Cricetulus griseus: one gene and its partners. The protein of the gene in region 3 purifies or fractionates together with the protein of the main gene of each other region. This does not show direct contact. Links are inferred from orthologs where the notes say so. Each region holds a gene or a part of one and is shown on either strand. Other genes may lie near its edges.

Region 1 (3,659 bases), about 82 Mb from region 3:
GCAACAAAGCTAAGTAAATCTAGCCACATAGTTCTCCATCCCCAGGGCGGAAAGGCAGCTGGAACCTTTCTCTGAGCAGATTTTTAGCAGAGCCCAGCTTCAAGTTCTTCCCATGAGTGTCTAATTGAATGTAGGAAAAATCCTTATAGTGAGACAGCACTATTGTCTCTTCATATGAATATGACTGCACAGCACATATCCTAGGCACAGATATGGATGGCAAAAGTTCACTCTATGGGTAAGATTTATCCCCATTTCACAGGCAGCAGGGCTCAGCCTTACAGCAGTAAAGGACAGATTGTGTCTTCCACCATGGAGCCCCAGGAGTAATACAAATGTTACCTCCCATGTTACACCCAGAAAAAAAAAATGCAATGACTCCACCCCCGCCCCAGCACAGAGCTCTGATTGCTTATGACTAGTTCCCCTCTCCTGTATCTTATGCCCAGAAGGAGCAGCCATCTTAGGAGACAACAAACTATTGAGAGAACAATAAAGAACGACACAAGTAATTCTCAAATACTTGTTTTCTCCATGTAGATTACTATGTGTTGCATTTTCACAAAAGTGGGCTGGTGCCAAATAGAGGGTTCTGTGGCTTATGTACTTTGATTTGACAATGCACTCTGAATATTTTTTCCATGCGGTGAAGGAAAATCTACTGCACTGGGATCAGAACACGGCAGGGTCAAACAGGATGCAGCCTAAATCGAAGCAGCAGCAAGTGCTGACCAGGGAACTAAACATAAGGGATGTCTTCGATGTCCCTTCGAGGGGCCCTGCAGCCACCCCTGAATTCCCTTGGGCCCCTTGGGTGGAAGGGGTCCTGCAAACTTCTTTGCATCCAGAAGATGTGTCCCATCTTCTGCTTGTTCTTTCTCTCATCCTCCTTTACCCTGGCCATGTTGTCAAATTCCCTAATCATGTCCTCATTGCTGAAGTGCATATCGTGGATGGCCTCCTTATACTCCTTGAGGCAGTGGGCCAGCCCCTTGTTGGTTTTTCTTTTGGCTTTTCTGGGCAGGGGGTCCTCAGCCGGGCGCTTTCCAGCAGGGTTCCCTTTACTAAATTCTGGGTTTCCCTGTGTCTCTGGCCTTCCTTCCTGTTTTGCCCTTCTCTCGGGCTCCGGCTGCTCTTGGCGCCTTGGCAGCATCCCCTCATCTCCTGCCTTTGCCTGGCTTTCTGACCTTTCTTCCTCTTCCGGAGAAAAGGCTACTTCTGACTGTCCTTCCTCCTGTGGCTCTTTACCGTTTTCCACTTGTGCTTGCTTCGAAGGCACTGCTTCCTTCTCCCTCGAGAGTTCTTCCATGTCCGGATTGTTCTTTTTCTGTCCTGGAGGTAGAGGTGGGGGTGGGGTGGGGGAAAGAGGAAATAGAGAAGACACGGAGACTGAGGAGCAGGGGCGGAAGGCACGTTCATCTAGTCTTTGCATCGTGCCCTTGAGAATGGTTCTCTAACTCAGCCTGTCTGCCCTCCAAGTGTGCCTTCTGCCTGCACCCTTCCCTCACAGTTGAGGTAAGCACATCCCGGCAGGTCCTGCCGCCTTCTCTGTCTGTGCTCTTTCACTGTGGCAAACACTGTGGAATACGGTGGGGGTGCGCGGTAGAGACCCAAATCTGCCTGTGTCCCTGTCCATATCGCAGTGACTGAGAGCAGGTCGTCCCTCCTTTCCAGGTGTCCGAGGAAGGAGGCAGTGGCAGTCTCAGATATGCAGACAGGGCACAGGGGGGAGGGTCTATGCACTCAGTGAAAAGCTGTGGCTGGAAAACTGTCCTGGATTCAGGACTTGTCCTCCTCCATTCCTCCCTGCTCCCCAGCCGCCATTTCTTTTCAAGCCTTGAGCTCCAGGGAGGACGGTCTTCTAGCTATTTGGGGGTCTGTGAGTCTCCCTGTCCTGGCTGGAACTCAAGAGCCCACCTTGCCGCTTAGCGGCTTTGGGGTCAGTAATGGCAGAAGGTTGCTTTTCTGTCTTTTTTCCTCCCTTTCCTTCTTTCCAAGCCCTCCCTTAGAGGGCTCCTCCCAGCCCCGGTCCAGTACTGGGACTCCAAAAGGGAGCAGAGAAGGGGCAGCGAAGGCAGCCAGGATACTGGAGTGGGGTGTAGCAGGCAGACGGGGATACTTGGGGGTGTCTGCCTTCTCTGCCTTCTGCCCGGCGGCCTCAAGCCCCCTAGTAACCTCCCTTTCCCACTGCCTTGTGGTCTACACTCAAGCCCTCCTCCCTTGTCCCAACTCCACCTCCTGCCTTTCCCTCCTAGCGCCCAGCTGGCCTCGCCCCTTAGCATTCGCCTCTAGCCTCTAGGCGCAAAACCTCACACTGACCTGAGAGAAGCAACAACAGTAACCAGGAGCCCCAGGGAATTGAGAGATGGCTCTGGGACAGAGCCCTTGGGAGCAGCGAGGGTGGGGCACTCCAGCAGGCAAATCACGTGACACCACCCAGCGCCAGCCTTCCCTCTTGCCTACTAGCAAGACTCAGCCAGTCACACACCACTCCTCGAATCAGGTACCACTCACATTAAGGGCGTGTCTGTTTCTCTTGTTGGAAAGTTGGTTTTATAAAGAATTTTATTCAATGCCACACTTTTTTTTTTCTTCCGTTGTACTGGGTGGTGTGATGGAAGAATCTTGACAATGTTGCTTTCAAATCTATTGCAAGATCTGAATCAGTGAAGCAAGTCCTAGAACTGGGAATTGAATGCGTGGACAGTAGGATATTGCACTTTTGAGAAAAAGAAATAGGAATTTGTCTCACCAAATAACACTTCCTAATTTTATCATCTGACTTTCATGCATTTTCTAATGAAAAAGGAAAGGGACTTACATTTGGAGCTGAGCGAGAGAATGACTCTTTTATTTTAAGTGGGAAAGTGAGTATAAAGGGTGCAAAGATCAGACCCTGGATGAAGACAGAACTGAGATCAACCATGATTTCAGCACACAGCTTGAGTAACCAAGCACACCTCCACACCAATCTCCAGGACAGAAAGAGAAACCCACTTTCCTTTAAACACATTTAATATATCCTCTAGTCTATGACATCTGGGCCCAGCTTCCAGTAGCCTGATCCCAGCTAGATCTTCTCAAGAACTTCCTAAACTCTTACATCTTTTAAACAGATCTCCATGACAAAGCTTTCTAGCTTGCCTCTCTGGCAATCACAAATGTTGTGTGACTCCCCTGCTTTATCAAGTTGTAAACAAGGAGCCTGTGTTTGTGCTTATGTGGGTTGCCCCCCTCCTGCCCCCCATACAAAGGCCTTTGGATGGTTCACTTATAGTGGCCTTGAACCATCTTTAATGGAATGTTATTGCCTCCCTTCCAAAAGAATTAAATTTCCATCTAGTGGTAGACATGCCACACTCTCACTGATTAAGAGTTAATCCACTTGGGTCAGCAAACCAGTAGGATAAAGCCATTCTAAAAGACAAAGGGGACTAAGATGATCCTTTCTTGAGGCAACGTGTCTTCCCTTCCCATAAGCCCTGCTCCTGCAGCAGTCTCCTTCAGAGCTGTAATCTTGCAGCCTTTTCAATCTGCCCACTTTTCTTCTCTCTTCTGGGTGTGGTTTCAGGAACTCTTCTTGCTTCCCCAACACTGTGGGCTTTACTCTTTCTCTGAAGCTCCCTCCATCCCTACTGTGTGGCTGCTTATGATCCCTG
Region 2 (4,160 bases), on a different chromosome or scaffold from region 3:
CAGAGGGTCACATGGAAACTGGTATTGCCTCAAATGTTTGGTCTTACCTATTAGTGATTAAGTTATATCTGGCATTTTCACAGAGAACCCAAAACCCATTTCCAACTCTGGGTATGTATAATGGTCACTCAAAGTCAGTGTAATTGGAGAAAGAAGTGTGGTCAATTCCAAACTCTTCAAAGGCCAAGTAATAGGTAAACATGTGCTGTGGTAACACACTAAGCTACATTTCCCGAGTTAAGTTTAAAAAGGGGGGGGGGGGAGAGGGTCTTCCTGGGAGTGTAACACAGATAGGTGAGAAAAGGGGGAAGAGACATTACTAGGCAAACCTTTTAAATTGTGAATTGCACACCAGAGTAAAACCAAAGATTCGGCTTACTCTTAACTATTGTTTGATAGGACACAGGTAAGAGGATAACTTGGAGGAGTCTGCTCTGGCCTCCACCATGTGGATTCTGGGATCTAAACTTGACAGCCTTGGTATATCGGAGCCACGTCCTCAGTTAAGCTATGGTGTTGTCCACCACTAAGAATTTCGAAGGGGAAACACATCTAGACTTTTCACTCAGTTAAGACACTCAACTGACAAGGTAGTACACCTATGCCATTGAGTATTTTCCACCATTTAAAACAGTTTCTTAAGTTTTAGATGATGGTTTTCAACAGCAACTCCAACTTAGCGTGGCACTTTAGTATTTCCCATCTTAATGAGATCAAGAGCCTGGAGTCCCCCAAGATTTTGACCCTGCCCTGCTACATGCAAGCAATTTTTCTTCAGCTGGGAGAAATCACCAGTTCTTTACATTATCTCACAGGTTTCTTCAGTTAAGTGCTACAGTAACAAAAGCTGTTGGTATATCCTTGGTTCAGGGTTGGGAATTTATAGTTTACCCAGAGTGCTTGCCTAAACATGTGCTGGTCCATGCCTTTAATCCCAGCACTTGAGGATCTAAGTTCAAGGCCAGCTTGGTCTAAGTGAGCTTCCAATCCCCCAAAAACACAATCTTAAAAACAAAACAAAAAAAGGCTGTGTGTGTGCATGGTGCCTACTGTATCCAAAAGTTCTGCGTTTAAGGTTCAACAATGCAAGAGGGGGAAATAAAGTCTTATGCACAAATGCCATCTAAATTCAGCGAACATTTCCCAAAGACAATCATAGCCCTAGGTCCCTTGTAAGAACAGAAACGATGGATTTCTGATAAATTAAATGTTGCTGGGTGTGGTGTCTTAACACTTTAATCCCAGCACTTGAGAGGCAGAGGCAGGCTGGTCTCTGAAGAGTTTCCAGGACAGCCAAGGCTACAAAGAGAAACCTCAGACCTGAAGGGGGTGGGGAGACTGAATGTTGCCTTTAATCCTAGAACCTGGGAGGCAGTGGATCTCTGTGAGTTCCAGGCCAACCTGGTCTACCAAGCTCCAGGACAGTCAAAGCTATAGAGACCCTATCTCAAAATTGTTTGGAGGCAACAATCCAAAAAGTATTTTTTTTTTACAGACTAGAGGGTCATGTTAGAGAAAATAAAGCGTATTTCCTAAACTAAAGCTAGGTGTTTAAAAGGGCATTTTTACAAGTCCATTTAAAATGTAAAACAAAAACAAAGAAAAAGCAGCTCCCCCCCCCAAACCCACTTGCAATGAAGTGACACACACACCCCATTTTTAAAAAAGAAAACCACAGAACCTCTAGCTATTATTTTAATAGCACCTTCTGGGAAGTTTCCCAATTATCCAGGGAAACGACCAAAGCAAGCTGAATCCTGACAACTGAAAACTACCAAAAAGTCAAGCAAAATGGAAGCTGTGTAAGGCAACGACCTGCTCTTGTTCCCCACCCCTGCCTGGCATATAGTACAAACTGTTGAATGAAGAGTTGGGAAGAAAATCCACATAGGAGATAGGTGTCCATCCCTACAGCTCCGCCCTAACACGTGGGCGCACACTAGGCTCCCTACCCCCAACCATCGCAGCACCAACCTCCAAACCCAATGTGCGTTCCCTTGGAGGACAGAGGCCGGGTCACACTCCACAACCCCAAACCTACCAAAGCATAAAGTACAAGGTCACCAAGGAGCCAAACCCGGGCCCATCGGAGCTTGCCATCTGGACTCGAGCGCACGCTTCCGAGGCGAACCCTCTTCACCTCGCCTCTCGCCGCGCACGCGCACCGCCGCTTCCCCCCGCCCCTCCACGGACTCGCGCTCGCGTTCTAACCGCCCCCCCACCCCTGCCCCCACGAGGGTCCGCAACGGCCTCGCGCCTTGGAGACCGGGTCTCATGCGCTCCAGTCCGCGCGCCAACCGCCTCCGTCCTTCCTCCGCGCCTGGGCGCGGGCGCAGCGCCTCACGCCTAGGAGAAGGGCCTCGCGCGGGACTCCCGCACACCTTTCTGCGCTACCTCCTCCGACCGGAGCCGAAGCCCACCATTACTGCCTACTCCAACCGCGCGCAAGGGGGTAAAAAGGGAGTGAGGGGGAGGGGAGAGGCCTTCCCCTCCCCCTAAACATTCCGAGGCACCAGCCCGCAGCGGCTATGCCGCCAGCCTGCCGCAGCTCCCAGGTCCGAAGGGAGCCGGTGCCACCTGCCCCCCAACTCCAGCAAGGAGCGGATCAAGCCCGGAGGCTATTTCGGAGCCCGGTCCTTGGCCACGCTCGGCCGCTCACTCACCTGAGGCCGCCATGTTGGGAGAGGGAGAGAGAACGCAAAGGACCCGGATGAGGCAATCACGTGATTATAGCGGGCGCGACGGGCTTGGAGACGCGAAACCAGGAGGGGGCGGGGAACGGAGGACGGAGGCAGGAGGAGGCGGGGCGCTGCCGTGCTAGGTTCGTAAAGCAGCGCGACGAGGTGGCGCGGCGTCCGACCGGAAGACCTGCGCGACATGTGGCCGAAGGGGTGGAGTCTGAGCTGTCGCGAAACCCTACGCTTTACGTTGGGCCCGGCGCGGCGGTCAGGTCGGCTGTGCGCCCTGGGCGGGGTCTCCTGACGCACAGACTTCTGGGAGGTGGGTCGGCGCGAAGGGCGGGGCCGCACTTTCTGATTCCATGGAACCGAGCTGGCTTGGAATCTAGAATGGATGTGCCACAATTGTTTTTTTTTTGTTGTTGTTTTTTGTTTTTTTTTGTTTTTTACAAAGAGAAGATTCGGAGTTTGTTTTAAGTCGCTTTTTGTAAAGGCAAAGCAAATCTGATGTTCTGTATTATGGTTTCAATTAAGCGTGCTTTTTAGCGTGCTTAGAAGGAAAAAGAAAGTAACATTTGAACATGCTAAGGCCGTGAACTTTAGCCTCATTTAAGCCTCCAATTTACTGACAAGGTCCAGCGCCGAGTGCTAGCCACATTTCTTCCAGCCAATGCTCCATTTTTATTATATTTCACTAAGTAAAACTTTGAGCACCAACCATGTGTCAGGCACTGTTTAACAGAGGTTTGTGGATATAACAGAACAAAACTACCTTGAATAAAATATTACAAACGATAAACACAACAGGTAAGTAAGAATATTCCAAATGATAAACACTACAGGTGAGTAAGATAATAGAGTAAAAGGTGGTTGAGTGCAACTCTAGATGTTCTGCTTAGGGAAGGTCTCTGAGGAAGTGACATTTAGAATGAGCATGGTGGTGCATGCCTCTTGAGGCTAAGGCAGGAGGGTTGTTGAGAGCTGCAGGCCTTTCTGGACTACATAACGGGTTCCAGTCCAGTTTGGTATACGGAGTGAATCCTTCCATGTATTAACAAATGGGCTGGGGAGCTGGCTTAGTAAGAGGGCTTGCTGATAATGCATAAATAGGGGCCTCAGTCCTGGAACCTTGTATCCACATATTTTTTTGGTCCATGGCTACAGGAGGGTTAGTCTATAACCCTAGCATCGTGGAAGGCAGAGACAATACATTTGTGGGGCTTTCTGGCCAGCTGCTTAACACCAGGTCCAGTTCTCACTGGATTGTTTTAAGGATATGAGACAGGATACTTGGCAAGAGTCCCCTAGACTGCAGGGGTGAGCATCACCCACACCTGTGTGGACACCTACATAGATGGGGACACACACAGGTAAGCCTCCCACAAAACAGGAACAAAAAAGCTGTAGGCCCCGGGGAATGTCTTCATAATACCTTTAGAAAACCGGATACAAAGGATTGAAGATAAGGCTTATTGGTAGAAG
Region 3 (4,311 bases):
TAACTTATCTCCTCAATAATGTATATACATTTCATTGGCACTGTTATTTAGGAACTCTGTAAAGTGGGAAAGCCTGGAAAAGGCTCGGAGATGTAAAGAACAGCAACAGACTACTATGGATGGCCCTGAAAGGGAGGGGCTGATGGGCTGGTAATCAGAGAGACTGGAGAAAAACAGAATGCAAGTAGGGTACCAGCCTCCAAAATTCTTGCAGGTCACTCAGGATTTTATCATTTATGCTGCATGAGACAGGAAGCTGTTGGACATCCTGAGGAACAGATGGACATGATATATGCATACTTATTTAAATAAGTATTTTAAGAATTATTGCTTAATAGAACAACATCTTAACATTTGAGAAACCTGGCAGACAGAGCTACAGCCAACAGATCAAGGTTAATGTCTTAGATTACATCATACAGATACCATTTACCATGTCATATAAGGGCTCACAGTATGCATCCAGTCTGTTTTATAAACACACTCTGTATATAGATACATATGTTTATAAATATGAATGGTGGAAAAGCATATCATGATAATGAAACATGTGAAAAGAGCCCTTTAATTAAAAATTTAGGGTAACAGTTCCTCATGAAGCAGGGAGGAGAATTTCCATCTGACAGGAGCACAGGAGTTTTTAAGGTAATGTTCTGAATCTCCCATGGGTGAGGAATCTGCACATAAAACTTGGTAATTGTTTTTCTTTTAAATAGACTCATTGAAAATGAGTTAAAAATATATAATAAGCCAGGCTCGGTGGAACATGCCTGTAATCTCAGCCAGATTTCTGAGATCAAGCTCTGACAGCCAGAGCTATGTAGAAGAGAGACTCTGTGTCCAAAAAAGAGGGACAAAATAATACAAAGACTTCTCTGTATGCCCTTAGATTCCCCAAATCTAGCATACCTTATCCATTTGCTCTATTCTTATTTTTCCCCCATATCATTTTTGGGTTATTTTTATTTATCTTAAAATAGACAAAAATGTGTGCATTTGTGGTATACAGCATGATGTTTTGATATACACATTGAAAACACTAAAACAAGCTACTTAACATATCAATTGTGTCACAGTTTTCTGGGTAAGAACATGTAAAGTCTATTAGGCAATTTTCAAGTATAGAATAGATTTCTATTAACTATTATCACCATTTTGTACAATGGATCTCCTGAATTTATTCCTAGTCTAACTAAATTTTGCATCCTATGATGAAATTTCCATAATCCTCTCCCTTCCACGTGCATTTTTACATAGGCTAGTTTTTTCAATCATTTGATAAGTTGCTTACATGATGGTTCCTTATCCCTAAATTTTCAGTGTGTATTTTTCACCAAACAAGGGATATTCTTTCATTACCATATTACAATGATCAAAAACAAGAAATCATCAGTAGCAATATTTTATCTACTGGCCCTAGTCAAATTTCACCGTTTTTTTACAATGAAATTTACAGTGAAAGAGAAATTATGAGAAAGAACCCTGATTTTAAAAAATAATTTATTTTTCCTTGTTCTAGGATCCAACTGAGGATCACATGTTGCGTTTAGTTGTGACTTGTTAAACTACATTAATTCCTTCAATCTGGAACAGTTCTTCAGCATCTGTCTTTCACGACCTTGCCGTTTTGAAGCATACAAACCATTTCTTTCATCAGGAAGTCCATCAATTTATGTAAAATGTTTTATACTATAATCTTTGTAGGTCTTACGAATTTCACAATTTAAAAAACAAGACGCAACTCAGAGTGAAATACGAACCCTGAAGCCGTAAATTTTGGGGCAGTGATTAGCCTTTTTTAAAAAATATCAGTAAAGACAATTTGTCAAGGCTGTGGGTTCTTTTTTAAACACCATTTTCTACTGATTACAAAATATTATTGAATAGAAAAAATTTTCTTCTCAAAGAACCTTCCTTTGTAATCTGCACTTTCTCCTGTCCTAGGAAGGAGACCTTGGCTATAATAAATCTAAAAAACAAACAAAAACTATCGCGTCACAATCTTTGCTCTTTCGCAGGCGCCATTTTCTGCCCTCGGCACCGCCCCTCCTCCACATTTGCCTCACCTCAGACCTTCGCCTCGTTCCCAGGAGCCAGGCACCCTCCCCATCCCACCACGCCCTCCGCCCCTCGGCCCACTGCTATAGGCTACGGAGTTGCTCTTCAGCTGACGCCACCAAGCTCCTCGGCTTCACAGGCGCTCCAAGTACTCGTAGGCTGTTCCTCGCAACCGACGCAATGTTTCGTAACACACGCCACGCCCCCGCGTTAAGGACAGAGCCAGCCTCCTTTGCAGGCTCCAGGTTCCCAGACGCAGTCCCCTCTCACCCCCTCCCCAGAAGATGCAGTCCCTACCTCCGAGGCCATTTCTCTCACGCCCTGCCTCTGCCACAAACAAGCCCCATTTTGTCCTCGGGCGGCTAACTGCCCCGCCTCTTCCCCAAATGCTGCGATTCATTCACTAGCACCTCCACGCCCCCCATCTCCTACCCGTCCACCAAGCCCCTTCCCCGCCTCGCACCTCTTCTTCCTCGGAATTTGGCTTCTAAGTACCCCGCGGATACTAACGCCCCCGCAGTCCCCTGGGCCAAGGCTTCATTGAAGCCCAGCCTCACCAGCTTTCGCCAGCTCGCAGTGGACGCTCTCGCCCATTCTCGACTTGGCGCCACTGCTCGTCCAGGTCTGGCATTGCCTCGCGCTGTGTCTCTTTCTCCTCGGCGGAGGCCGGGATGGCAGCTGCAGCTGGGTCCGCTGCGACCGCCGCCATCTCCGTCCGTTCTCCTCCAACTGCCGACGCAACTGAAGATAGGAAGAGGACCCTCAACTGGCACTTCCGGATTTTGTCCCGGAAACGGAAGCAGAGCCCCCCAACAATCAGGGGGCCACTGCCATCTTGGAAACGTCACTATTAGGCGGAAACTGGGTGGTGGGCTGTGATCTGTGTAACCAATACCAGGGGTTAACCCTCCAGTTTGGAACTAGTGCTTATGGAATTCTAACACTAGGTCAAAAGGTCTTATGGAAGGTGGAGGCTAAAGGTTTTCCACATGAGCAAAGATGTGTGTTTTGGGCCTTACAAAAAGAGCTTATGGCAAATCTCCCTGCCCCTTGCTCTGTTGAGGACTGCACCCCCCCACACACTGTGAAAGCACCATTTTTGTTAGCCTAACTAGAATTACCTTTCATTGCACTACCCTCTTGTCCATCAAAAACAAATGTAGCGACTGGAGAGATGGCTCAGCAATGAAGGGCACTTGTTGCACTGGCAAAAGATGGGGATTCAATTACCAGTACCCACAGTGCTCACAACCATCCAAAACACCAGTTCCAGGGGATCAGCAGGAATGCACAAGGTGCACATACATGCATACAGGGGAAACATTCATACACATAAAGTAAAATAGTTGGGTATTTTGTTTTTGTTAGGGTTTTTTGTTTTTCCAAGACAGGGCTTCTCTGTGTATCCCTGGCTGTCCTCGAACTTGCTCTCTAGACCAGGGTGGCCTCGAAATCATAGAGATTCTCCTGCTGAGTGCTGGGATCAAAGTCCTGTGCCTCCACTGCCTGTCTCTGTTTTTTTTTTTTTTAACTCAAATACAGAAAGTTTACCACCTCCTGAGAGCCTCACAGGGTTGCCTTTCGTAACTAGGGTGTGTGTGTCTGTCTTTGAGAACAGGACTTTTGCTAAACTGCCCCAAATTGCCTCCAACTCTGTGGAGCTCAGGCTGGCATCTGATTTGCCTTGACCCAACTGTCTCAGTCTCCAAAGTGTGGATTGTAAGCATACTGTTCAACACTGAGCTTCCGGAACTAGAGTTACTCACCAGACAAATCTGATGAAGTCAGCCCTAAACCATGTGTTTGTTGGAGGCATAACAAATAGTCACTCTGCCAGTTTAAGTGACTTGAACTTAAATGCCTTGGGTGGCAGGTACTGTATTTTTTGGCCCATGATTAACAATGGGGTTAGCTGAGATCCAGAAATGTCAAATCATTTGTTCTCAACTAGGATGTGCTGTAGCAATGCAGACCTAGTTACAGAGCTGTGACCTTAAACACCAAACAGATCCTCAAACTGTGGTCACAGGCTATCAGCTCAAGAATCCCTCTTGGGGGTTTCACAAAGTCAAAACTATTTCTGCAGTATCTTCACTCTCGTTTTCACACATATATAGTGAAATTACCCAGAAGGTACTTTGGAATAAGCAAAAGTTCTTTGAGTGTCCTCAATCTTATATAAATGAAATCTTAAGTCAAACATTTAAGAGCCACTGAATGTGCCAGGGTTTCTTTTGGTGTTTTTCTGAAATA

What was found. Proteins that work in one complex are often made in the same cells at the same time.
Region 1: the proteins of Usp11 (region 3) and transcription elongation factor A protein-like 4 purify together in Homo sapiens (affinity purification with mass spectrometry; 3 studies listed by BioGRID, with this or other methods). This does not show direct contact. The link is inferred for Cricetulus griseus from reciprocal best matches to the Homo sapiens genes USP11 and TCEAL4.
Region 2: the proteins of Usp11 (region 3) and Eif4b purify together in Homo sapiens (affinity purification with western blotting; 3 studies listed by BioGRID, with this or other methods). This does not show direct contact. The link is inferred for Cricetulus griseus from reciprocal best matches to the Homo sapiens genes USP11 and EIF4B.

The regions. Positions count from the first base shown.
Region 1 is NC_048604.1:43,940,587-43,944,245, reverse strand, and holds transcription elongation factor A protein-like 4, read right to left. Parts: upstream 2,473-3,659; 5' UTR 2,320-2,472; intron 1,516-2,319; exon of another isoform or gene 1,333-1,515; 5' UTR 1,310-1,332; coding exon 740-1,309; 3' UTR 510-739; downstream 1-509. UniProt on the Homo sapiens protein: May be involved in transcriptional regulation.
Region 2 is NC_048595.1:398,468,320-398,472,479, reverse strand, and holds the start of Eif4b (eukaryotic translation initiation factor 4B), read right to left. Parts: upstream 2,810-4,160; 5' UTR 2,677-2,809; coding exon 2,664-2,676; intron 1-2,663. UniProt on the Homo sapiens protein: Required for the binding of mRNA to ribosomes. Functions in close association with EIF4-F and EIF4-A. Binds near the 5'-terminal cap of mRNA in presence of EIF-4F and ATP.
Region 3 is NC_048604.1:125,510,967-125,515,277, reverse strand, and holds the start of Usp11 (ubiquitin carboxyl-terminal hydrolase 11), read right to left. Parts: upstream 2,825-4,311; 5' UTR 2,768-2,824; coding exon 2,616-2,767; intron 1-2,615.